Ovis aries: one gene and its partners. The protein of the gene in region 4 purifies or fractionates together with the protein of the main gene of each other region. This does not show direct contact. Links are inferred from orthologs where the notes say so. Each region holds a gene or a part of one and is shown on either strand. Other genes may lie near its edges.

Evidence for each region.
Region 1: the proteins of FOXO1 (region 4) and SKP2 purify together in Homo sapiens (affinity purification with western blotting; 4 studies listed by BioGRID). This does not show direct contact. The link is inferred for Ovis aries from reciprocal best matches to the Homo sapiens genes FOXO1 and SKP2.
Region 2: the proteins of FOXO1 (region 4) and SIRT1 purify together in Homo sapiens (affinity purification with western blotting; 5 studies listed by BioGRID and IntAct, with this or other methods). This does not show direct contact. The link is inferred for Ovis aries from reciprocal best matches to the Homo sapiens genes FOXO1 and SIRT1.
Region 3: the proteins of FOXO1 (region 4) and SIRT2 purify together in Homo sapiens (affinity purification with western blotting; 3 studies listed by BioGRID). This does not show direct contact. The link is inferred for Ovis aries from reciprocal best matches to the Homo sapiens genes FOXO1 and SIRT2.
Region 5: the proteins of FOXO1 (region 4) and ATG7 purify together in Homo sapiens (affinity purification with western blotting; 4 studies listed by BioGRID). This does not show direct contact. The link is inferred for Ovis aries from reciprocal best matches to the Homo sapiens genes FOXO1 and ATG7.

What each region holds. Positions count from the first base shown.
Region 1 is NC_056069.1:38,233,360-38,238,335, forward strand, and holds the start of SKP2 (S-phase kinase-associated protein 2), read right to left. Parts: upstream 3,091-4,976; 5' UTR 2,911-3,090; coding exon 2,867-2,910; exon of another isoform or gene 2,783-2,866; intron 2,369-2,782; coding exon 2,097-2,368; intron 1-2,096. UniProt on the Homo sapiens protein: Substrate recognition component of a SCF (SKP1-CUL1-F-box protein) E3 ubiquitin-protein ligase complex which mediates the ubiquitination and subsequent proteasomal degradation of target proteins involved in cell cycle progression, signal transduction and transcription.
Region 2 is NC_056078.1:23,632,597-23,637,648, reverse strand, and holds the start of SIRT1 (NAD-dependent protein deacetylase sirtuin-1), read right to left. Parts: upstream 3,058-5,052; 5' UTR 2,992-3,057; coding exon 2,607-2,991; intron 1,318-2,606; coding exon 1,201-1,317; intron 1-1,200. UniProt on the Homo sapiens protein: NAD-dependent protein deacetylase that links transcriptional regulation directly to intracellular energetics and participates in the coordination of several separated cellular functions such as cell cycle, response to DNA damage, metabolism, apoptosis and autophagy.
Region 3 is NC_056067.1:47,962,660-47,966,699, forward strand, and holds the end of SIRT2 (NAD-dependent protein deacetylase sirtuin-2), read right to left. Parts: intron 3,640-4,040; coding exon 3,580-3,639; intron 3,294-3,579; coding exon 3,238-3,293; intron 3,089-3,237; coding exon 3,012-3,088; intron 2,925-3,011; coding exon 2,873-2,924; intron 2,102-2,872; coding exon of another isoform or gene 2,021-2,101; exon of another isoform or gene 1,961-2,020; intron 1,943-1,960; coding exon 1,872-1,942; intron 1,729-1,871; coding exon 1,662-1,728; intron 1,545-1,661; coding exon 1,386-1,544; 3' UTR 815-1,385; downstream 1-814. UniProt on the Homo sapiens protein: NAD-dependent protein deacetylase, which deacetylates internal lysines on histone and alpha-tubulin as well as many other proteins such as key transcription factors.
Region 4 is NC_056063.1:22,237,139-22,240,991, reverse strand, and holds part of FOXO1 (forkhead box protein O1), read right to left. Parts: intron 3,350-3,853; coding exon 2,015-3,349; 3' UTR 1,993-2,014; intron 1,528-1,992; 3' UTR 1-1,527. UniProt on the Homo sapiens protein: Transcription factor that is the main target of insulin signaling and regulates metabolic homeostasis in response to oxidative stress.
Region 5 is NC_056072.1:55,258,577-55,263,618, reverse strand, and holds the start of ATG7 (ubiquitin-like modifier-activating enzyme ATG7), read right to left. Parts: upstream 3,175-5,042; 5' UTR 3,124-3,174; exon of another isoform or gene 2,207-3,123; intron 1-2,206. UniProt on the Homo sapiens protein: E1-like activating enzyme involved in the 2 ubiquitin-like systems required for cytoplasm to vacuole transport (Cvt) and autophagy.

The DNA of each region.
Region 1 (4,976 bases), on a different chromosome or scaffold from region 4:
CTCAGACCATAATTTAGAAGTTCTCTTTTCTAAAGAAAGGGTCAAAAGCCAAAAAATCTTTTTTTTTTTCTTTTCTTTTTTTTTAAATTTTGTTCAAGCAAGCAAGCGATCAACCAAGCTTTCTCTAAGAAAGCCAGATGGGGGAATTCAGGAATATACTTAATTTACCCTGGCTCTGCAAGACTTCATCTTTATTTCTCGACTGTCTCTTCTTCTCCATCATGTCCCATGCAATTTCAATTTAGAGTATGATCACTTCTACAATTTCAAAACCTTTCTCTGTCCACTCTAATATCAAAATCTATCCAGAAGCTGCTTAGCACCACTCTCACACCTCTCAACAAGTCTCTAAGCTTTTATCCTCAAGCCCTCAAAGTTTAGTCTCAAGACACCAGTGTATCCTTTTCAAAGGTTACATAGCAACTCTGCTCAACTGTACCTCTAGCCCAGTTCTCACTATTCTCCCCTCTGCTGTTCTACTCTTGGAATATGGCTTCCTTGCTGTTCCTTGAACAAACACATCATTCTCCTGCTCCAGGGCCTTTGCACTACCTGCTCCTTCTGCTTGGGGCTCTTTTCTCCAAGATATTTGCATGGCACATTCCTTCATCTCCTTTATGCCTTTGCTTACAGCTCACTGTCCAAGTGAGGCTTCTTCAATATCCTGCAAACCAGCTTCCCATCCCAGGATCTCTTGTCCCTCTAGGCGTGTTCTATTTTTGTTTTTAGCCATAGCACTTATTCTAACATACTACACACCAGATTTGTGCATACTGCATCCTCTTTCTAGAAGAGAAGCTCCATGAGGGTAGAAATGCTTTTATTGTGCTCACTGCTATATCCCCAGTACTTAGAACAATGCCTAGCAGACGCAATGTGCTCAGCAAATATTTGCTGAATTAATGTTTTACATGGCTTGCCAGTAAGAAAAACTGATAACCCCAGGTCAACGCACTATGTTTACCCTATGGTTCTGAGTATTCCTGGAGCTCTGATCCACGGTGGGAGGCAGTTATAAATCAGCTTGAGAAGCCTGGAAACAGAGAGCTATTTAGAGGGGAATGACGTAGTGGAGTTCTACATTTCAATCAGTCCACTCTAGCTCTGGGGGATGGATCTGGGGAGGATAAGGCTCTGAATTATGAGTCCCTTCCTAAATATGAGAAATATTTAGGAGACAAGAGGGAAAGATTCAATGATTGGTTGGATTTTGGGGGGGGATGGTGGGAATCTGACTGACCTTTAGGTTATGGGGTTGGGGAAACTGAACAGATAACACAGTGAGTGATGGAGACAGCATAAAGAATTCCTCTTGGGAATGGATCTGTAAGGATGAGTCTCTCCCCCTTAGCTCAACATTCACTTCAGCAGTCCTTTGATAAATAACTAAAGTGATTATGGTAAAAGGCTCAACAGCGGCTACAGAGCAGCCAAATATAAACAAAAAGAATTCTATGGATCATTGCTTTGTTTCTATTTGTCAGAGGTATTGAGCTGGCCCTTAACCAGGCAGAGTCCCTCCTAAAGAAAAAGGAAGGAATGTCTTTTCACCGGTTACAAGTCAGTTCTGTCTCTGAAGACACACACATACCACCATTTCTGTAAGCACAACCAGTGGTCTGGTTTCTTTGGAAAATAACTTAGGAATTGGGCAGTTTTAAAAGGACCCTATCTGGCCTTCCCTGGTGGCTCAGAGGTAAAGAATCTGCCTGCCAATGCAGCAGTCACTGGTTCGATCCCTGATCTGGGAAGAGATCCCGCACGCAGCAGAGCAACTGAGCCCCCAGCGCCACAGTAATTGAGGCTGTGTTCTAAAGCCTGGAACCCGCAACTGCCGAGTCCACGTGCTCCAACTACCGAAGCCCCTGCGTCCTAGAGCCCATGCTCCCCCAAAGAGAAGTCTCTGCAACTGGAGAAAAGCCGGGGCAACAAGGAAGACCCAGCACGGACAAAAATAAATAAATAAATTTAAATTACAATTTCTTTAGAAGGGCCCCACCCCATGCTAAATAACCCTAAACAAAGGTCTACCGACAAAATAACCGGTCAATTTAATCCACCATTGACTGGGCTTGTATTTTACCCTCAAACCTTACCTGGAAAGTTCTCTCGGTTTAGCTTAGGTCTGCGGACAATCACAAAGTCCTTGTCATTTCCTTTGCTTTTCAGCCGTTTTCGTGGGGGACTCTGTGGGTGGCCCAGGTTTGAAAGCAGTTCCTGGGGGATGTTCTCACTGTCCACCTCCTCCTTCTCCAGGGCGGAGACCCCCATGCCTGAAAGCAGTTCAGAAGTCTTGCTAGAATCCCATCCCCACGTGAAACTGGTGGTAACGTTGCTACTCTGGTCGGGTATCTCCTGGAGGTGTTTCCTGCAGAAACGCACAATAGCCCCACGTTCCTTTCAAAAACACGCCCGTAAATAATTCCCAGACAGGCCTAAAGGAAGCTGCAAGCTATGCACCGCAGAAAGCTTTCACAGCAGTTAACTGAACTGCATTTTTACGTGCCGGCGGCGAGTCCCCAAGAATAAAAGAGAAAATAACCGAACACATCGAAAAGGCTTTTCGATTTCCGATCATGCAGAAGGCCTCAAGAATTTCTTAAAAGTGGAGGGAACATACAAGGAAAGAGGCAGGGCAATCACACACTGATTGAAAACAGCAGCAGGAAAGCCCAATAAGGGAAGACAAATAACATCCACGCTGACCACCGCACTAAAGCATCCACCCATCCACGTTTTCCCAAAGAGGCTAAGCAGCCATTCACATTACAGCATTACTAACAATATTAGCCAAGTAGCAAAACACGCGGCCTAAAAGAATTAAGACGGTCCATTCATGTTCTGTCTCCTTCTGCAATCGGTTTACCTGTGCATGGCGTCCGCAGGTTCGGGAGTTTTAAATGCGTGCATTAATTGCAGAGGTGCCCGCCCCCCGAATTCCCGCTTTGGCGCGCGGCGGCGCACTGCGTGCGGCGCACTGCGTGCGGCCCCGGCTTGCTGCAGCGAAACCCGCGAACTCTATCAACGTTCCATCCCAGCAGCGCGCGCAGAATTCTCCAGCCAGCCGGCTCTCCTCCGCAGCCGTCGTCTGCGGCCCCGCTGCCTGCTGGGAATTGTAGTTTCTGCCCAGCCTGGTAGTCCGGCTGCCTCGCCACTACTTCCTTTCCTTGCAGCTTTGCCGCCTTCGAGATACCCACAACCCCGCGCGGCTGCGGGACCGGACGACCCACAGGGTAGGCGGGGAAGCGGAAGTGGGCGGTGCTCCGGCTAACTGGGGAAATGTCAGCTGCTTGACTGGGGTTCGGGTTTCCTTTCTCGGGACCCCCCGACCTTTTGGTGACTGCCGCCGCTGTCGCCAAGGAGTGTGGGTCCCAAACCCTGTAAGGCTGTGGCGGCCGCGGGGTTTCCAGGCCCTTCTGGACGCTGTCCGGCGAGATCGGACGGTGAGCCCGAGGAGGAGAGCGTGAGGCACTTTGAGGTGTGGGGCCGAGCGCGGACTGAGGGGGGCCCCGGAGACCCCGAGAGGCCGCCGTCGCGGGGCCTACGTCCCAGGTAGCTGAGTGGAGGCCGTGGCACGCCCTGCCGGCCAGGTGAGAGGCTGCGGCCGTGGGCGTCACACCTGCTCCCCTCTCTGCCTGGAGCTGCGTACTCCACCCGGGTGAGGGCGGCCCTAAGGACTAGGTCTGTGGACAGGATCCTTTCCTTACGTGTAAAATAGGCACCACGGCAAGAACGCTCGTTTCACAGTCGCCGTCAAATCAGAGGAGGCTCGTGAGAGCGTTTTGTAAACGAAAGCGCGGTTCAAACGTCAGGCGGAGGTTTAATTTTAGGGGAGCAGGAGATTGCTGTGAGTGCCAGGGGAAAGCTCAGCATCTCCGGCAGCCTTGAGAAGTCTCATAAATGCTAGCATGAGAACAAATAAGGTGACTATTGTTTGCAAAAGGCTTTCCGTGCCACGCTAGCGGCCACCAGCAAAACCATTCGATTACTGTCTCAAAAAAAAAAAAAAAAAAAATTCTGTTTGCCTCACGTCCTAAAAGTCAGCTGCTTGCTTTTAGACTATATCCACGGAGAAAAGTTTGGAGATGGTTAGAGAGTGCCATTTTCTGGGTAGGATGACCGTGCGAAATCCATTGTGCAAATGTTCTATAACTGCGAGCCTGGGAAAACAGTGGAAGAGAGAGGGGGAATAACTTCCAACCCTAGTAAAAATGGAGAGGATTTATAAAGTTCAGAAAGAAGCACCCAGCGTCATCACAAAAATACTAGAATATCACTTAAGCATGCTGTGTGGCATACCTTCTTATTTCTTAAAAAAAAAAATTCAATTTACACTGGAGTTAAACCTCCCCCTCTTGAATATCAGCTTGTTTCAGGCTTGGTGCATAGCTTGAAATGGAACCACCTCTTGACAGAGGAGGGCGTTCGTGATCCTTTAGTAGTTGACTCTTGAAACTAGATAAAACTGGGGTAAAGAATGGATCTGCTCACTGATTGATTCTAGTTGAAACTAGATGAAGAATACTAAGCTGAATGTTCACAATTCATTAAGCTAATGTTACATGGAAAATATTTTTAAATTCAGTGTTCTATTTTTTACATAAAGTTATCTTCATGATATTGTGGCTAAGGAGAAAGCAGTAGCCTGCTTGAAGTCTACATCCTTTCTCTTAAAATTGCCAGTCTAGGTTCGATGCAGGATACAGGATGCGTGGGGCTGGTGCACTGGGATGACCCAGAGAGATGGTATGGGGAGGGAGGTGGGAGGAGGGGTTCAGGACTGGGAACTCATGTACACCCGTGCCGGGTTCATGTTGATGTATGGCAAAACCAATACAGTATTGTAAAGTAAAATAAAACAAAATGTCAAACAAAAAAAATGCAATTCAGAGGAAATATTTAGTCTTCTTCAGGAAATTGAACAAGACAGAGGGAGCTTATAAACTAATGGAGGAGAAGAAATAAAAAAAATTTTA
Region 2 (5,052 bases), on a different chromosome or scaffold from region 4:
TATAAAATGCCAGGTATGTATTTCAAAGGGATTCCCTGGTGGCTCAGTGGTAAAGAGGCCATAGTTCAATCCCTAGGTAGACAAGACCCCTGGAAAAGGAAACGGCAACTCAATCCAGCATTATTGTCTGGGAAATCCCAGGGACAGAGGAGCCTGGCTGGTTACAGTTCATGGGGCGGAATCAGATGCAACTTCGTGACTAAACAACATGTGTAAGAGTCAAGTGAATTTACTACTAGAATTAGATTTCTCTGGTTAAAACCTAAAAAAATATAACTTAAATACAACAGATGTACAAAAGGGCTCTGCAAATCAATAAAGATCTTACCCATCCTGAAAGCCCACACTATTTATCATTAAAAACACAAAGAAAATGAAATCTATCCTTAACTACTATCTTTAAAATGTTCCCAGTAATAATCTTCAATTTAATCTTAACCTGTCTTTGCAATGATGCATATAATGCTAATGTTCTAAGCTTTAATAATTCTTTGCCCTAAATTTCTTAATCAGTTCCTAGCTTAAGAAAACCAAAAATACAGTCAATATAAACACTAAGAGAAACTAATCATCACGATCTTGAAATAGTCAAGGCATTTCTGGAAAAATGAGAGCACATTAAGAAAAAGAATATTTTGAGATGGTCATGTTACTACTTCGATATAAAAATCTCATAGTATTCTCTACTTCAAAATACTTTCCCATTCCATCAAAATACTTAGTATTTACTGAGGGCAAATTTTTCCAGGCACCGACTAAACAGTATACAAATCAGTCAGAAATCCCTGGCCCCCATGGGACTCTATATTCTAATGCAGGAAACCAGCAATAAAAGTTATACACAGAAATTGTCAAGCAGTAAGTGTTAAGAAGAAAAATTATAGAAGGATATGAAGGAGGAAGCAAGATACTTTGGAGGATGACCATTCCATATGGAGGGTACAAGTGGAAAGGACCGTTTAAGTGTGAGGACCTGGTTTTTGAGAAATTACACAGGCCAGCTTCCATGGGCCCATGCTGTTTAACAAACAAAAACAGAACAAAGTACTAGACTTCCCCTAAAAACCAAGCTGACATTAAATCTCAGTAAACGCCTAAGAACCTCATCACAAGACAATAAGGGAAGAAAGAAATATAGTTTTCCTCGACATAAAAAGAAAATATCAGAGAAAAGATAGCTCTTAACCTGTGAAACCATACCTATCCGAGGTCTTGGAGTCCAGTCACTAGAACTCGCATGCGAGGCTCTATCATCTTCGTCACTTTCGCACGAATGGAAACCGTTGGTGATGATTTCATCACCAAACAGAAGGTCATCTGCAAAAGAAACCAAAGGTAACTCAAGGTTGTGGAAACAATCTGCATCTAAAATTATAAAGCTCTGTAATTATTGTGATGCAACAATTTCCAATGAATAAAGCACTCATACTGCCCGCGTAAAAAATGTCTACTGGATCAACTCACACCGTTCACAGGAACAGTATATCCTCTTTAGGCATTCTGCTCAGAAGCTAAGTTTCATCAAAATCTAGAAATAAGTCTACTTAATCAAAACACAAAAAGTAGCAACCTTGACTGAATTTATCGATCACAAATAGTGGTTCATAAAACTTACCAAATAAAAAGTTACCCAAAAAGTCATGCAAACACAGCTATGGCAACTTGCACTCTCTTATATAACGCAAAATCTACAAAGGTACCTTTGCATTATTCGTTTCCCTTATTAAACTATGTTTCTTGAAAACAGTGTCGTTTTTCTAATCCAGTCCCTAATGCACACGTTATCTTTACATATAGTCAAATGGTCCACTGGTTGGATTTATTAGTACAAATAATGGAGAGGCATATCTATCTAGATAAAAACTATGAAAACACTGAAGGATGACGAGACACACAACTATCACATCTACTTTAGCATGTCAGAAAAATGTCAATTCGTGTTTCAGGGTTACATATACACACACGAAGACAGTTACTGTAAAAACCACTATAAGAACACGATTAGAGGAAAAACACTATTCACGGCAAAGTAGTCTAAAAAACTATTACTCTCCTATGCCCACTATTAATTGCACCACAGAAGGGTAATGTCTTTATAAACACCTATGCTCTTTAAAATTTAAAACAAGTTTGAAAATAGAGGCCCTCCTAAAAACCCCAACAAATTTCGCAGGCAATGGCAAAAGCTGGCGCAAGGGACAGTCAAAAAGTTGCAGGTTGAAGTGTGCGGGACGGGGAGAGGCGGAGAAGCGAACAGCATTTAACAAAAGCAATACACTAAAGGAGTAGGAGGGGAGAGAAACTTATTTTAAAACCGACAGCGAGGGTAGCCCGCCCCGCGGCTGCGCAAAACGCGAGGCCGCTGGGGCGGGCCGCGGGGAGGAAGGTGGGGGTGGCACAGAGCAAGGGAGGGAGCGAGTCCGCGGGCCGCTCCCGCAGCCCAGCCCTCAGCCCCGCAGGCGCGCGGCTGAAGGCCCAGGTCGGCAGGGGGAAGGCGCAGAGCCAGGCCCGAGCCCCCAACCCGCCCGAGACTCCACCACCCGACAGGAGGGGCCCCGGGAGGAGGAGGGGGGATGCGCAGTCCCGGCCGCCCGCGCCCTGCGCACCTCGGTACCCAATAGCCGCCGCCGCCGCCTCTTCCTCCTCCTCGCCCTCGTCGTCGTCGTCGTAGAAGTCGTCGGCCGGTGGCGCCTCCCGGGATAGGCCCTGTAAGCCCGGCCCATTGTCTCCTTCTCCGGCCGCCGCCGCCGCCGCCTGGGCCTCCAGCCACAGCGCCGCCGCCGCTGCCGGGCAGCCGCCGGCCGCCGCCGGCAGTTCCCGCTCGGGGGCCGTCCCGCCGGGCTCGCCCGGGCCCCGCCCGAGGCCGGGGCCGTCTCTTCGCGGCCTCTTGCGGAGCGGCTCCCCAGCAGGCGGCGACGGGGCCTCCCTCTCAGCCGCCACTACCGAGGGGGAGCCGCCGGGCTGAAGGGCGAGCGCCGCCTCGTCCGCCATCTTTCAACCGCCTCTCTGGCCCTCCTCCCTCGCCTCTTCTGCTCCCGCTCGACTCGCGGCACTGGCGCCCCCGCGGCTCCGGCTGCGGGAGATTTAAACCCCGTCACGTGACGCGCCGCTCCTCGCCCCCGCCCTCCCGCCGCTCCCGCCACCCACGCGGGCCGGACCACAACACCGCGGGTCACGTGGCAGGCGGAGGCGGCGTGGGCCTGGAGGAAACCCCGCCTTGGGTGCTGCGGCCCCACCCCTTGGAGGCCGGCGCGTCTCGCAGCCAAACTTGTCTTTCAGTCTTCAAATCAGTGCCCGCGGGTTGGTTCAAGTTTTGCTCTGCGCCGCGAGTTTCCACTTCTGCGTGAAGAGCACGCCTTGCTCGACTGCCTTTGTCTTTTCTTGACTTATGCTAAGGGTTAATACTAAGTTCCTGAGCGGCGTTAAGGCTAAGCTTCCCGAAATGTGCTAAGTAATCGGTCAGTTTGTTAACGGACAAGTGAAGTGAAGTTCGCTCAGCCCTGTCCACCTCTCTGTGACCCCGTGGACTATACGGTCCATGGAATTCTCTAGGCCAGAATACTGGAGTGAGTAGTCTTTCCCTTCTCCAGGTGATCTTCCCAACCCAGGGGTCGAACCTAGGTCTCCCGCACTGCAGGCGGATTATTTACCAGCTGAGTTACAAGAGAAATAGAGGCAAAAGCACGGTTCACTTGTCAACCTCCACACCCCATTCGCACAGCTTCTCTTTGGCTCCCTTTTTCTCTTTGCTTTTGTCTTTAGATTATTGCTATTTCTTCCTCTCTCCATCCCTTGTAGGGCGGTGTAGATTGTCCCTCAAAGGCATGTGTGCGTCCTGCAAAGACCTTTGAGGCGGAGGGATGATCAGCCTACCTGCTTCGTGGTCCCAGCTTGGCTCCAAATGTGTGATTTCCCTCGTATAGGTTTCATAAAATGAGTATATCGGCTCAAGTGGAGTGGTATGAAGATAACTGGGCTGAACATGACTTGGCCGCTACAAACATGTAGATTTGGGTAAGAATTTGAGATCCTTCTAGCGTGAGAAGTTTAGCTTTTCTGTAAAATGGTTAATAAGTATTTTGTAGGGTTTTGATGAGAATTAAAGATAGCCAGATGTAAAGTGAAGGGTGTACATAGTAGCCAAAAATATTAATTCCTTGCCTACTTGAAGTCCCTCTTCTGTTTTTTCCTGAAATTTTAGGACTCTCACTCCACATCTAGCCTTAACTGAGAACCCGTATGATACATGGCAGACCCAGAGCCTAACTTCGTAGGCATCTGTTTCTGAAACAAAGCACTTCTACCCCCTTAAGGGGTAGTGAGTTTATAGTTTATCAGTCCGTAAGCTTTAAGTGGGTCCTGTCTATACAGTGACAATTACTGTTTGAACTTAACGCAACTTAAGGTGTTTCATCCTTTTAAAAAAACAGTTCTAATTTTGAAAATGTAACTGGAAGGTCCCATCTAAACCCAAAAGTCTTTGTACCTCGAGTTAAACTGAGAATCTCTCCTTACAGCTGGTTGTTTCATTTCTGAAAGTGATGATCTCTTTCAGCCTATAAGGCTTGAAATCACTGAAGCGTTCCTTCAGATTGATGCCCGGTAATCAGTCTGTGAACAAATCCTGTGGTCTTTTCTTCCCGCCTACACTCCTAGTGCTTAATTAGGTAGACATCTCACCCTTCCTGGCTTTCATACTTGATCCTATTCTCTCCCCACTTTATCTTATCTCACAAGATATTTCAAATTGCTTCTCAACTATGTTGGTAGGATATATATAAAATGTTAAGAGTCAATATTCTATCAAAATAGGAACAGAACTTTCAGATTAAAAAAAAAGACATATGTAAGCTTATGAACATCTTATTGCTTCATTCATTTGTATATGTTGTACCTCAAAGACACTTGATGGTGTTCATGAAATACTGTGTGATCACTGTGATTACCTGTGCCCTGATGGCACAGACATGGCCAGTAGCATAAGCAGGAGACAGAAGTTGTATCACAAAACAAAACAAACTCTCATCTCTTCTGGCCTTACCAGTAGTTGAA
Region 3 (4,040 bases), on a different chromosome or scaffold from region 4:
CAGGAATCCTAGGTCCTTCCATCCATCCATCCATGTGCCCATACATCCAACAAATATTTACTGAAGTACAGGACCAGTTAGGTGCCTGGGGAAAGGGCGATGGGCAGAATAGGCCCCTGCTCCCAGGGGCTTCCCTTCTTCTTGGGGTGGGTATAAGGGATGCATAATAAACAGCTAAATCAACCCATCAGCCCACTGTCCCGAAGTCCAGGGTGTTAGGAAGTGGGGGACAGAGAGCAGGTGCTCTGCCTAGGGGAGAACAGGCAGGAAGGGTGGGGAGAGGGAGGCAGAGGCTTGCCTGGGCCCCATGAGAAGGCAGAAGGAGATGAGGGGTGCTGGGCAGGGTGTGACGGGGGCAGCTGCCTGATGCCACAGGGAGGCTGTGGGTCAGTGTAGCGGAGGGGGGTGGTGATGCCAGCTGCTCGGTCCCCTGGGGGCCCCTACCTGTTCTCCGAGGGGAGGCCTGAAGTAGCAGGAAGTGAAAGTTCCTCACGGAGAGAGAGAGGAAGCTGAGCTGGCAGGGGAAGAGGCGGGGCTGGGGGGATCTGAAAAGGGACCCTCCTCCCTCTTTCTGGGGGCTCAGGCCTTGGGTGACCCGGCTTTGGAGGAAGGGACTCTGGCAGGTGCCTGGGAGTCCAGGGGTAACAGCCAGGACACAGGGCTCCCACGGCCCCGAGCCCGCTCTCGGCACCTTTCAGCACTCTTCACGCTGCTTCTCATGATGGTTTCCTTAGCGGGCGGAGATCTAACCCCCTTCCTCCGGCAGCTTCCCTCGGGGCCCCAGAAAAGAACAGCGAGGCCAGACAGCTAATCGTTAGTTGTTTTTTGTTTTTAATTCATCTCTAATAAGCAACACCATCTGCCCACCCCCACATAGGAAGTGGGACCAAGAGAGGGGGCCTAGCACCCACTTTCAGAGTTGGAGGCAGAGGCCTGGGAGTCCTTGAGGCTTGGATCTCCCCACTGAGTGTATGGAGGGCACAACCCCCAACCCAGGGTAGGTTAGGTTTCATCTACTTGACCAGGGACCCTTGGGAGCAGTAGAGAGCGTGTGGGCCCTGGGGCTCTTGTCCTGGGACAGTTAGCAGTTTGGAGGTACCCGTGGCCCTGTGAGCAGTTAGAGATTAGGGGGGCTGATCCTCGGCCGTAGGGGTGGTTAGAGGCTGTGGGCTGTTAGAGACAGGCTGCCCAAGCCTCTGCCCCCAAGAATGTTAGAGATTTGCTGAGGTCAGGGGTGCTGGGACACCAGTTTTGGGAGGGAATCGTTAATACATTGAAGAAATGTTCTGAGCTCCCCAGAAAAGAGCTGTAAGTTAGAGGAGGGCCAGGGCTGTTTGGGGCTCAGCGGTCCCAAGGCTGGGGGTCCTGCCTGGGAGACGCAGCGGTCACTGGGGTTTCTCTCCCTCAGTGGTCCTGGGCTCCTCCTTGGTGGGAGGTGGTGGAGAATTCCTGGAGGAAGCTGAAGTAGTGGGGTTGGGGGACCGAGACGCCGACTGGGCATCTATGCTTGCATGCTCCTTCCGAACAAGGTCCTCCAGCTCCTTCTGCAGGGGGCAAAGTTCACAGAGGTCAGAGGTCATCATGTGTCATTGGGTCGGAGGACCTGTGGGAGGGGGATCCAGGGACTGGGCTCGGGGTGAGCTGGGGTGATAGCTCCTCACCTTCCAGCCAAGGAGGTCAGCAAGGGCCAGGCAGCCCTGGTCGCAGTCACCCAGCCAGGCCACGTCCCTGAGGGCGAGGGAAGAGTCAAAGCTCCCAGGCTTGTCCCAGCACCGGTGGCTCTGCCTGTCCTTTGCCTCCGTGCCTTCCCTCCCACCTGGGCCCTGTCCCTCCCAGGCTCTACCTCACCCCGCTGCAGGCCCGGGCCTCACCTGTAGGCCTTCTTGGAGTCAAAGTCCATGCCTCCTCCGAGGGCCATCATCATCCCGAGGAAAGGGTCAGTCTGTGGGGGAGGGGGAGCTCAGAGCACAGACTCCGGAGCCAGGGGGCCTGGGTTTGAATCCCAGCTCTGTGACTTCACTCAAGTGGCCTGGCCTCTCTGAACCTCAGTTTCCTTCTCTGTAGAGTAGGGGTAATCACCACACCCACTCCTAGGATGATGCTATCAGTGGGTTAACACAGAGAAAATGCTGAGCACAGAGTCTGCCACACAGTATGTTTTTTGCCTGCTGGAGGAAACAGCTGTCCCCGGGAGGGAGCCCCTCCTGGGACAGAGGTCACCTCAGTTTGAAAAGAGAGCTGAGACACGGCACAGTGACTCCTGATGGCACCGCTGCTGGCCCGGGGACCAGCGAGCCCAGACTCTTCAGTCACAGGAAGCTAAGGTTCCTGTTTTGGCTTACGTTGCTTTGAGCTGGGGTTCTATCATCCCCTCAAAAGGGTAAATGGGACTTCCTGGCAGGCCAGTGGTTAAGAATCCGCCTGCCAATATAGGGGACATGGGTTCCATTCCTGGTCTGGGAGGATCCCACATGCTGCGGGACGACTAAGCCCATGTACCCCAACTACTGAGCCCGTACCCTAGAGGCTGCGCTCTGCAACAAGAGAAGCCACCGCAATGCGAAGCCCGCCATGCAATGCAGTTAGAGTAGCCCCTGCTAGCCGCAACTAGAGGGAGCCCAAGAACAGCAACGAAGGCCTACTATAGACAAAAAAGAAGATAAAAAAGGGTGACTGACCCAGAGGCCTGTGGAACCCTGGAGTGGGGGTAGCCTGGAATCTGACCCCGAGGATTCAAGATCCCCAGGTCTGAGCTGAGGGGCCCAGAACACTGGGCTTCCCCAGAAACCTGTCCCCTGGTTCCCGGGGGGCCTGGGGGAGGTGATGTGGGGCTCGTGTGCGGGGGTGGCAGGGTAGGACGAAGAGGACTCACCTGGCCAGTCTTCTCCTTGTTGATGAGCAGGCGCGGGGTAGACAGGGGCGCCCTGGCGGATGGTGATCTGAGTGGTGAGGGCCTGTCACGGCTCCCCCAGCCTCCCAGCAGCCCCCCACAGCCCCAGCCCCCAACCTACTTGCCGATGAGGGACGCGAAGGGCTGCACCTGCAGGGAGGTGCCCATGATGATAAGGAGGTCCACCTTCAGGAAGTCCTACAAAGCGGGAGCGGCCAGTGAGGTCAGCTGCCGGCCCCCGCCCCCGATTGCAAGCCCACCCACAGCTACTTGGGGAAGCCACCTGCCGCAGGGCAGGACCTAGGCTGCCCCCGCATGGGCCGAGACGGGGCGGCCGGGACACTTACTGACTGCATGCAGGAGAAGAAACGCGCTGGGAGGTTCTCGCCGAAGAACACGATATCTGAGGGGGAGACAGATGGACAGACAGACATGGGGACAGAAAGAGATGGTGAAAAAGCAGGGGACAGAGACAGGGAGGGGGAGAGAGAACGGGCAGGAGCAGGAGGAGGACCCCAGGGCTGGGGCGGGAGTGTGGATGGGGCAGTGGGGAATAGGCCAGGGGGCTATGGCACCCCCTCTCCCTAGTCAGGGAGAGAGGGTGACCAGGGTCGGGTGGATGGATGGGGAGCGTGGCCTTCTTGGGAAGGGGTTAGCGGGTGTGCAGGGTCCCAGGCCCCAAGGCTCACCAGGCTTCACTACGCTCTGACATTTCTCACACTTGGGAGTCACCTCGGAGAAGATCTTCTCTGGGCGTGGGGAAGGGGAGGAGGAGGAGGAGGTAAGAGGCTCTGGGTTGGGGCTGCAGCCTGCCCACGCCACCCCCTTCATTGTCAATACAAACACATCTCAGTCATGGAGGAGCATCCTGGGGCGTTTGCCCTGCCCAGGGAGGACCTCTTCCCAGCACCAGTCCACAGCTATTACATGAAAGAACAAATAAGCAGACACTTGTCCCCAAAAGGGGAAACTGGGTTCCACCAACCCCCAACTTGGGGAATCTGGACTTGGGAGTGAAGTTCTTCCCGTGGGTCTTTTTTTTTTTTTTAATTTATTGATTTTTGGCTGTGCTGGGTCTTCATTGCTACACGGGCTTTCCTCTAGTTTCGGTGAGTGGGGGCTACTTTTTAGTTGTGGCGCATGAGCTTCT
Region 4 (3,853 bases):
CTCAAGTCCCATTTAAAAATTCCCCCGTTCAACCTCACTTTCCACAGTGCACCAAGCGATCTGCAGGGCAGAAGGGGAAGAGGGTTGAAGAGTGAGTATGGACATAATTCTCCAGAAGTACAAAGCCAACTTCTGCCTAGACCAGGAAGAGCACAGTGTTACGAGGGAAAACTTTTGCTGAAGTTCAACTCAAAAAGGTTAAGTTGATCAAAACTCGAGCTTGAGAAAGGAGCACTGTTTTGGAGGTGAGTCACCCCTTCTGATCTCCAAATACTTTGCAGCCTACCCCCAGGAGTACTTGAAACAAAGCGCATAAAGGCACTGATCAGAAGATTCAATGCCGGGCAGGGATGCCTAGTTCACAAGGACAGCAGAAGCAGACGTCTGTAAAACACATACACAAAAACAAATCAAGTTCTCAATGTGAAACGCAAAATGTCCGTAACTATACATCACTCTCCTGCTAAGGCAAGGCCAGAAATGTTGGGTGTGCAAGTACTAATTACAAGGATTTGAAGATTAGTCAGAAAACATCACCAAGGAGCATCCCCAAGTATACAAACAAGTGAAGCATATATAAAATTAGTACTAGTCCAGTTAGAAATACAAAAGGAAAATCACGGACGCTGCTTCAAATGTCTGAGATTCCACAAATTTACAAGCAGACCATGTAACAAAGGTAGACTCGAGTTTTAAGAAAACATTACAGTTCAGTATCTATTCCAAAAATGATCTCAAGTCCCAACAGTAACATCAAAAATCATTTATATGGAAATTAGAACCATTTAAAGTGTTTGTACAAATTTGCAAATAACAAAATAAACAAACGAAGAAGAAAAAAAAATAGAAAAGACCTGTACAAGGCTGGAGTTTAATCTTTCCCCCCCCCCAAAAGAGTTTTGATAAGTCCATTAATTCAGCAGATGGACAACAGGCTACTGGTTCTCCTGTGAATTATGGGGTGCCGTGAACAGATGCAGAGCTGTCCAGTGGAGCTGTAGAACGGAGAGCTTGGTTCTCTGTGATTCATCAGTTCAGCAGAACACAGGTAGTACAAAACCAAAGTTTAACTTACCAAGGACATGAGACCATCACAGTATTACAAAAAGAGTATAAACTTTCCTTGGACCAAATGAATAGTAAAAAAAAAAAAAAAAAAAGCACAGAGATACAATTCTGTAGCTACAGCTTATGTACAAAAGTTGAAAGCACACCAGGATCCGAAAGTCTTTTCTGCAATTATATGGTGTAGTGAGTTTGGCACTTCATTGTAATGAAATTTCCAATGGCACAGTCCTTATCTAGAGCAGCACATAACCTGCGAACACTGGGCAAACATCCTGTACAGGAAAAGTGTCCTCGCTGCCAAGTCTGACGAAAGGAAAAAAGAAATGCGTTTTGTGTGTTTTGTTTTGTTTTGTTTTGTTTTTTCAAATCAAGAAAACGAAAAGGTAGGGTGAAGGACATCTTTGGACTGCTTCTCTCAGTTCCTGCTGTCAGACAATCTGAAGTACTTTTAAGTGTAGCCTAGGAAAAAACACATACACACACACAAGCATTGAAAACAACCAAATGAAAATCAATTCAACTTAACATATTAGGATGACAGACATACTTGGGGGAGGGTTGGGCTTTCTCAAACAGCTCTGAAATCATTCAATGGGAGAAAATTCCACTTTAAAAACCCCTTCAGCATTTGATTTGTATCAAATGTATTCATTTATTTAAGAGTTACTACGAAGATGCAGCCTTCTGTCAAAAGAAACTCTTTAAAGCCATTAGAGGAAGCTTCCTTATGTTTCAGCTCAGAGGAGAATTTATAAGCTGCAAAAAGGGCAGAGAATGAATGATAAAAGATGCCTCTCCACAAGGGGTGGCCAGCTGACATAAAAATAAAAAAAGTCCCAACCCTGGAAGATACAAGGCAAGTTACTGGGCTCCTCTCTTAAAGTCCTGTTTTCAGAAGGTCTTTTGGTATCGGGGTGCTCTTACCTGCTCGCTCGCTTGCTCACTCTCAGCCTGACACCCAGCTGTGTGTTGTCGTCTTGACACTGTGCGGGAAGCTTTGGTTGGGCAACACGTTGTCAAAGTTAAAATCCAACGTGTCTCCATCCATGAGGTCGTTCCGAATGATGGACTCCATGTCACAGTCCAAGCGCTCGATAAACATGCCGTCCAAGTCACTGGGGAGCTTCTCCTGGTGGAGAACGCCCATCCGGCCATAGCCGTTGCAGCTGCTCACCGAGGAGTAGCCCCCTAGCGCGCTCATCTGCATGGGGTGGGCCAGAGGCACTTGTAAAGCTGTCTTCACCGGGGCCAGGCGGTTCATACCCGAGGTGTGGGGCATGGTGTTTACAGCGTGGGGCAAGGCACGCCCATTGACTGCGGATGTTGACTGAGCGTGTCCCGGGTGGGTGTGGGAGCTGGGGGTCATCATTTTGTTGTGAGAGGCCTGGCCGCCGTAGGCCGGCATGACCGAGTTGGGGCCCATCAGCACGTTCTGGCCGAGCACTCGGCTGTTGGCTTGAGCCACCCCCGGATCGACTGGCGTCATGATGTCACTGTGCGGAGGTGAGTCGGACGTCAGCAGCTCCTTCAGGAGTCCCGGCGCACAGTACTGGCTCATGCCTCCGTAACTCGATTTGCTGTCCTGCAGCGTCTGCATGGGCATCTGGGGCAGGGGGCTCATGCTGGACTGGCCGTACGTGTACTTTTGGTAGCTGGGGCTGGGTGAATTCAGACTGGTGCTCGGCGGCGCAAAGGAGTAGCAGGGCGTCTGTGGCATCATGGTGCCCGGTGAGGACTGGGTGGACACGGCTAATGACGCTGGTGACGAGAGGAGGTTGAGATTATCCAGAAGGTTCTCCATGTTCTCGGGGTTACTGATCTCGGACAGACTGGGCAGAGTAGAAGCCATCTTTGCGGCGGACGGCGGGTACACCATTGAGTGCACGTCCCCGTCTCCCAGGTCGTCCTGCTCCGTCATGATGGGAGAGAGCCTCCCGCTAATGGTACTAGCGTTCGAGCTGGTTCGAGGGCGAAAGGTACTCCAGTTGTCAAAGTCGTCATTGCTGTGAGAGCCGGGGCTTGCGGGCCACTTGGAAAACTGCGATCCCGGGCTGTCCCCGGCACCCTCCTGGCCCGACTGCAGGGATGCTTTTTTCTTGGCAGCTCGGCCTCGGCTCTTGGCAAATTTACTGTTGTTGTCCATGGATGCGGCTCTTCTCCTGGGGGATTTCCCACTCTTGCCTCCCTCTGGATTGAGCATCCACCAGGAGCTTTTTCCAGTTCCTTCATTCTGCACACGGATGAACTTGCTGTGCAGGGACAGATTATGACGAATTGAATTCTGTAAAGCAGAACACCATGTCAGAAATACAAATACTGCTCTGGCTGGAAGACCCACTATTACACACAGACACGTCTCACGTGGAAGACAAGCATGTTTTCAAAGTTTATGGTAAGATCTGTATCATCACTACAAGACAGCTCCAATGAGTAAAGTATTATTATATCTTAAAAACAGTATCTGTATTTTAATTTTACAAGGGGAAAAAACTAAACAGGCTTTATTATAAACACTTTCTTTTACATAGCCCTATTTTCCATGGAAATTACAGGACCTGGTTTTTAAACCACTTAGATTTGCGATGCAAATACTACTCCATTAACAGAGTGCTCTCAAAACCCCTATCTGTCCAATCATCCCCTAGAACTCCTGCAAGTTCTCTGCGGACGGTACACGCACCACTTAACACAAAGTGAGAAGTTTTGTATTACGGGGCCCACGTGATCCCCAACAAGAGAGAAAGGAAGCAGATTATATTCTCAGTCAAGAATCAAAACCCTGAAA
Region 5 (5,042 bases), on a different chromosome or scaffold from region 4:
CAGAGGAACCAGAGATCAAATTGCCAACATCTGTTGGGTTATAGAAAAAGCAAGAGAGTTTCAGGAAAACATCTACTTCTGGTTCATTGACTATGCCAAAGCCTTTGACTGTGTGGATCACAATAAACTGTGGAAAATTCTTAAAGAGATGGGAATACCAGACCACCTGACCTGCCTCCTGAGAAATCTGTATGCACGTCAAATAGCAACAGTTAGAACTGGACATGGAACAATGGACTGATTTCAAATTGAGAAAGGAGTACATCAAGGATGTATATTGTCACCCTGCTTATTTAACTTAAATGCAGAGTACATCATGAGAAACGCTGGGCTGGATGAAGCACAAGCTGGAATCAAGATTGCTGGGAGAAACATCAATAACCTCACATATGCAGATGACACCATCCTTTTGGCAGAAAGTAAAGAGGAGCTAATAAAGAGCCTCTTGATGAAAGTGAAAGAGGAGAGTAAAAATGCTGGTTTAAAACTCAACATTCAAAAAATGAAGATCATGGCATCCGGTCCCATCACTTCATGGCAAATAGACAGGGAAACAATAGAAACAGTTGAGACTTTATTTTCTTGGGCTCCAAAATCACTGCAGATGGCGATTGCAGCCATGAAATTAAGACACTTGCTCCTTGGAAGAAAAACTATGACTAACCTAGACAGCACATTAAAAAGCAGAGACATTACTCTGCCAACATAGGTCTGCCTAGTCAAAGCTATGGTTTTTCCAGTAGTATGTATGAATGTGAGAGCTGAACCATAAAGGCTGAATGCTGAATAATTGATATTTTTGAACAGTGGTGTTGGAGAAGAATCTTGAGAATCCCTTGGACTAGCAAGAAGATCAAACCAGTCAATCCTCAAGAAAATCAACCCTGAATATTCATTGGAAGGACTGATGCTGAAGCTGAAACTCCAATACTTTGGCCACCTGATGCAAAGAACTGACTCACTGGAAAAGACACTGATGCTGGAAAAGACTGAAGGCAGGAGAAAGGGACGACAGAGGATGAGATGGTTGGATGGCATCACCGACTCAATGGACCTGAGTTTGAGCAAGCTCCGGGAGTTGATGATGGACAGGAAAACCTGGCGTGCTACAGTCCGTGGGGCCACAGAGGCGGACATGACTGAGCAACTGAACTGAACACACTGTGGGGCGCCACTAGAAAGAGCAGGGAGGATCGAGAGAAAGAGAGGAGGAAGGCATCAGAGAATCTATTTTCCATGAGCAAAAGTGGAAGACAGAGGTCATTCTGACTTTCAAATAAAATCTCTGAGGTCAAGGGTACTGATCAAACAACTTGTCATTTTTATTTCCACGTAGAGGGTTCATTCTCTATCCTCGACCCCCAAAATCCTGACTCCCCCAGCATCATCCAACCAGTTACCAGTCCAGTGAATCTCACTTCCTTGTCTCTTGAATCCACCCACCCCTCTCCATCCCCATAGGTGCTGCCTTGGTTCAGGCCCACCTCCTCCGCCACCTGGACCACAGCAACAGTGCCCTGACCAGTCTGCCTGCAGGTCCTTCCTGCCCACTCTAATCAGCACATCACTGCCTGGCTAATTTAAAAGAGATAAAACCATGGCACAACCCTGCTTAAAAATTCCTCAGGGCTCTACTCTTTACACCCACATTTCCAAATAAAGCTTCTTAACATGTCTTAACTTGGCAATAGTAACTGCAACAGTTTATTGTTTACTATCTACTAGTGCCAAGTGGTGGAGAAGGAAATGGCAACCCACTCCAGTGTTCTTGCCTGGAGGATCCCAGGGATGGCGGAGCCTGGTGGGCCATCTATGGGGTCACACAGAGTCAGACACGACTGAAGCGATGTAGCAGCAGCAGCAGCAGTGTCAAGTGGCTAACATCCTCTAATTCACTTCTCACACCCACCCTAGAAGGTGGATTAATGTCTGCCCTTCGTTTTTGTTCTGTTTTTTTTTTTGGGGGGGGGGGGGCGGTGGCGGGGATGTTTGGCTACGTCATGCGGCTTGTAAGATTTCAGTTCCCTGATCAGGGATTGAACCCCGGGCCAAAACAGTGAAAGCCCAGAATCCTAACCACTAGGCCATCAGGGAACTCCCTATTTGCTCCTTTTACAGATGAGGAAACTGAAGCTAAGAAAGGGAGTGACCAGCCCAAGCTCACAAACTTAGCTCAGTGGCAAAGCCAGACATGGCACACAAGTACCTCAGCTTCCAAAGCCTGTGCTCCTCACGCTGTCGCCCACACGATCCTTCATGATCTGGCTTTCCAGAGTTGCCTCTCCCACAACTGGGCATTCCAGCTTGAGTGAACTCCTTGCAGGTCACTCACTGGACAGCCTTCTGTTCACGCCACTCCCAATGTCTGGGATATCCTCCCACCTCACTGCCCTCTTCACCTGACTAATCCTGCTCATCCTTTAGGACCAAACCCTACTGATGCCTCAGCCTGACCTGTGAGCACCCTAAGTCTGCCAGCAAACCCCCTACAACAGTTTCATACTGTAGTGCTATCTCCTTGACTTAAAAAAAAGAAATTAACTCGAGGACAGGGATGTGTACCTTACTCATTTTGGCATCCCCAGCTTGCAGAGCAGTGCTAGGATCAGTACTTACACTTATTCTCTACCATGAGAAACCAGCTGGAACAGAAAAAGGCCCTTGCGGGTTGCATGTGAGGCCTGTACTCAGCTCCTGAAAAGCGTTTCAACATCATGTCACATGAAGGGAGGAGAGGACGCGCCAGAAAAGACACGCCAGTGACAGCAAGACCGGGCAAAGCCAGGAAGAGAGAGCCCAGGCGTCCTTGTCCCCCGTGTGCCCACACAGGATGTCCAGAGCACTCGCTGCCAGGGGACAGGCGGGAATTACTTTGTTAATTAGCAAGAGCTTCCTAGTCGGAAGACCCCGGGCTGAATCAGCCTGAGGGGGACGTGACCGCAGACAGAAGGCGAGAGCCAGAGTCGGTGTGTCTCCCTAGAGGAGGGAGGCCCGCCTCTTGAAGGAGGCTCCTCAGACCCGCCGTGACCCTCGACCTCACCGCCGAGCTCACCCCTCAGGCCCAGGGCTACAGAAACCGACCTCGCAGGACCCCTGTCCTCCTCAACAGCGCGGCTCACTTACCGCCGCCCAACTTCCGGCAACCGCGGCGAAGTCCGCGGCGCGCGTCCCGATGACGCACGTGGCCCCGCCCCCGCAGGCGTGAGGGGGGTGCGCGCATGCGCACGAGGACGCGCTGGTCGGCCCAGTGAAGGAGCCCCTAGCACTCGGCGGAGTGGGAGGAACCTGGCCTCTGGGGAAGGCGGGTCAGCAGGAGGCTGGTCACGCCCCCTTGGGAGAGCCGGGGAACAGCCTCTCTACCAGAGGCGGCAATGTGTATATATGGCCCTCAGGCTGTTAAAAGTGTCCCGAATCCCATGGATAGAGGAGCCTGGCAGGCTATAGTCCACGGGGTTGCAAAGAGTCGGACACGACTGAGCGACTTCACTTCACTTCACTTCCTCCCCTCTAATGATTTGAGGATGACAGGAATTATCACTTCCATTTTCCAGGCAGCATTAAATTTTTTATCACACGGACCCTTAGGGAGGCACGTGTAGAGAGACAGGCCCTTTTTAATGCATTAAGTGAAGTGAAACTCGCTTAGTTGGTGTCCGACTCTTTGCGACCCCATGGACTATATACAGTTCATGGAATTCTCCAGGCCAGAATACTGGAGTGGGTAGCCTTTCACTTCTCCAGAGAATCTTCTCAGCCCAGGGATTGAACCCAGGTCTCCCACGTTGCAGGCAGATTCTCTACCAGCTGAGCCACCAGGTCTCCCACGTTGCAGGCAGATTCTCTACCAGCTGAGCCACCAGGGAACCCCAAGAAGACTGGAGTGGGTAGCCTGTCCCTTTTCCAGCGGATCTTCCCAACCCAGGAATCAAATCGGGGTCTCCTGCATTGCAGGTGGATTCTTTACCAACTGAGCTATCAGGGAAGCCATTTAGGGCCGGATGAAAGTCAACAGTGACCAACCTCCTCTTTCTAAACCAGGTATTTTTCTCACAGCTTCGTGGTATCAAGGGATAAACTTGTTCATTCCAAATTGTTTATTGAGAGTATACTCTGTTGCAAGCATTGGACAGTGTTAAAGACACAACAGTGAGTGTAAACTTAATCTGACATATAAGGCCAGGACTCTAACATAACTCTATAGAATACTATTTATTGATTATCTATCATAGTTCCATGGTTTCCCATCTCTAATCATCACAAAGGTACTACAAGGTAAAAATTATATCATCCCCATTTTACACATAAAAGAACAGGAGACATGAAAAGTTTTGACTTTTTGAAGGTTAAAGATCTTTGGGGCTACGATTCTAGTAGAAACATATTTGACTGCAAAATAAGAAAACAAACTCAGGCTTATTAATGTGCTTAGTCACTCAGTCATGTCTGACTCTTTGCCACCCTATGAACTGCAGCCTGCCAGGCTCCTCTGTCCATGGGATTCTCCAGGCAAGAATACTGGAGTGGGCTGTATTTCCTTCTCCAAGACTTATTGGAGGAGGGAGGGAGTGGGGGAGGGGAGGACTAGAGCAGTGGGGACACCACGCCAACCAAAGCTCTCCAGGCATCTCATTCGGTTCAGTCGCTCAGTCATGTCTGACTCTTGGTGACCCCATGGACCACAGTATGTCAGGCTTCCCTGTCCATTACCAACTCCCAGAGCTTGCGCAGACTCACGTGCATTGAGTCACTGATGCCATCCAACCATCACCCTCTTTTGTCGCCATCTCCTGCCTTCAATCATCCAGCATCAGGGTCTTTTCCAGTGAGTCAGTTCTTTGCATCAGATGACCAAAGTATTGGAGCTTCAGCTTCACCATCAGTCCTTCCAATGAATATTTCGGACTAATTTCCTTGAGGATTGACTGGTTTGATCTCCTTGTAGTACAAGGGATGCTCAAGTCTTCTCCAACACCATAGTTCAAAAGCATCAATTCTTCAGTGCTTGGCTTTCTGTATAGTCCAACTCTCACATCCATACATGA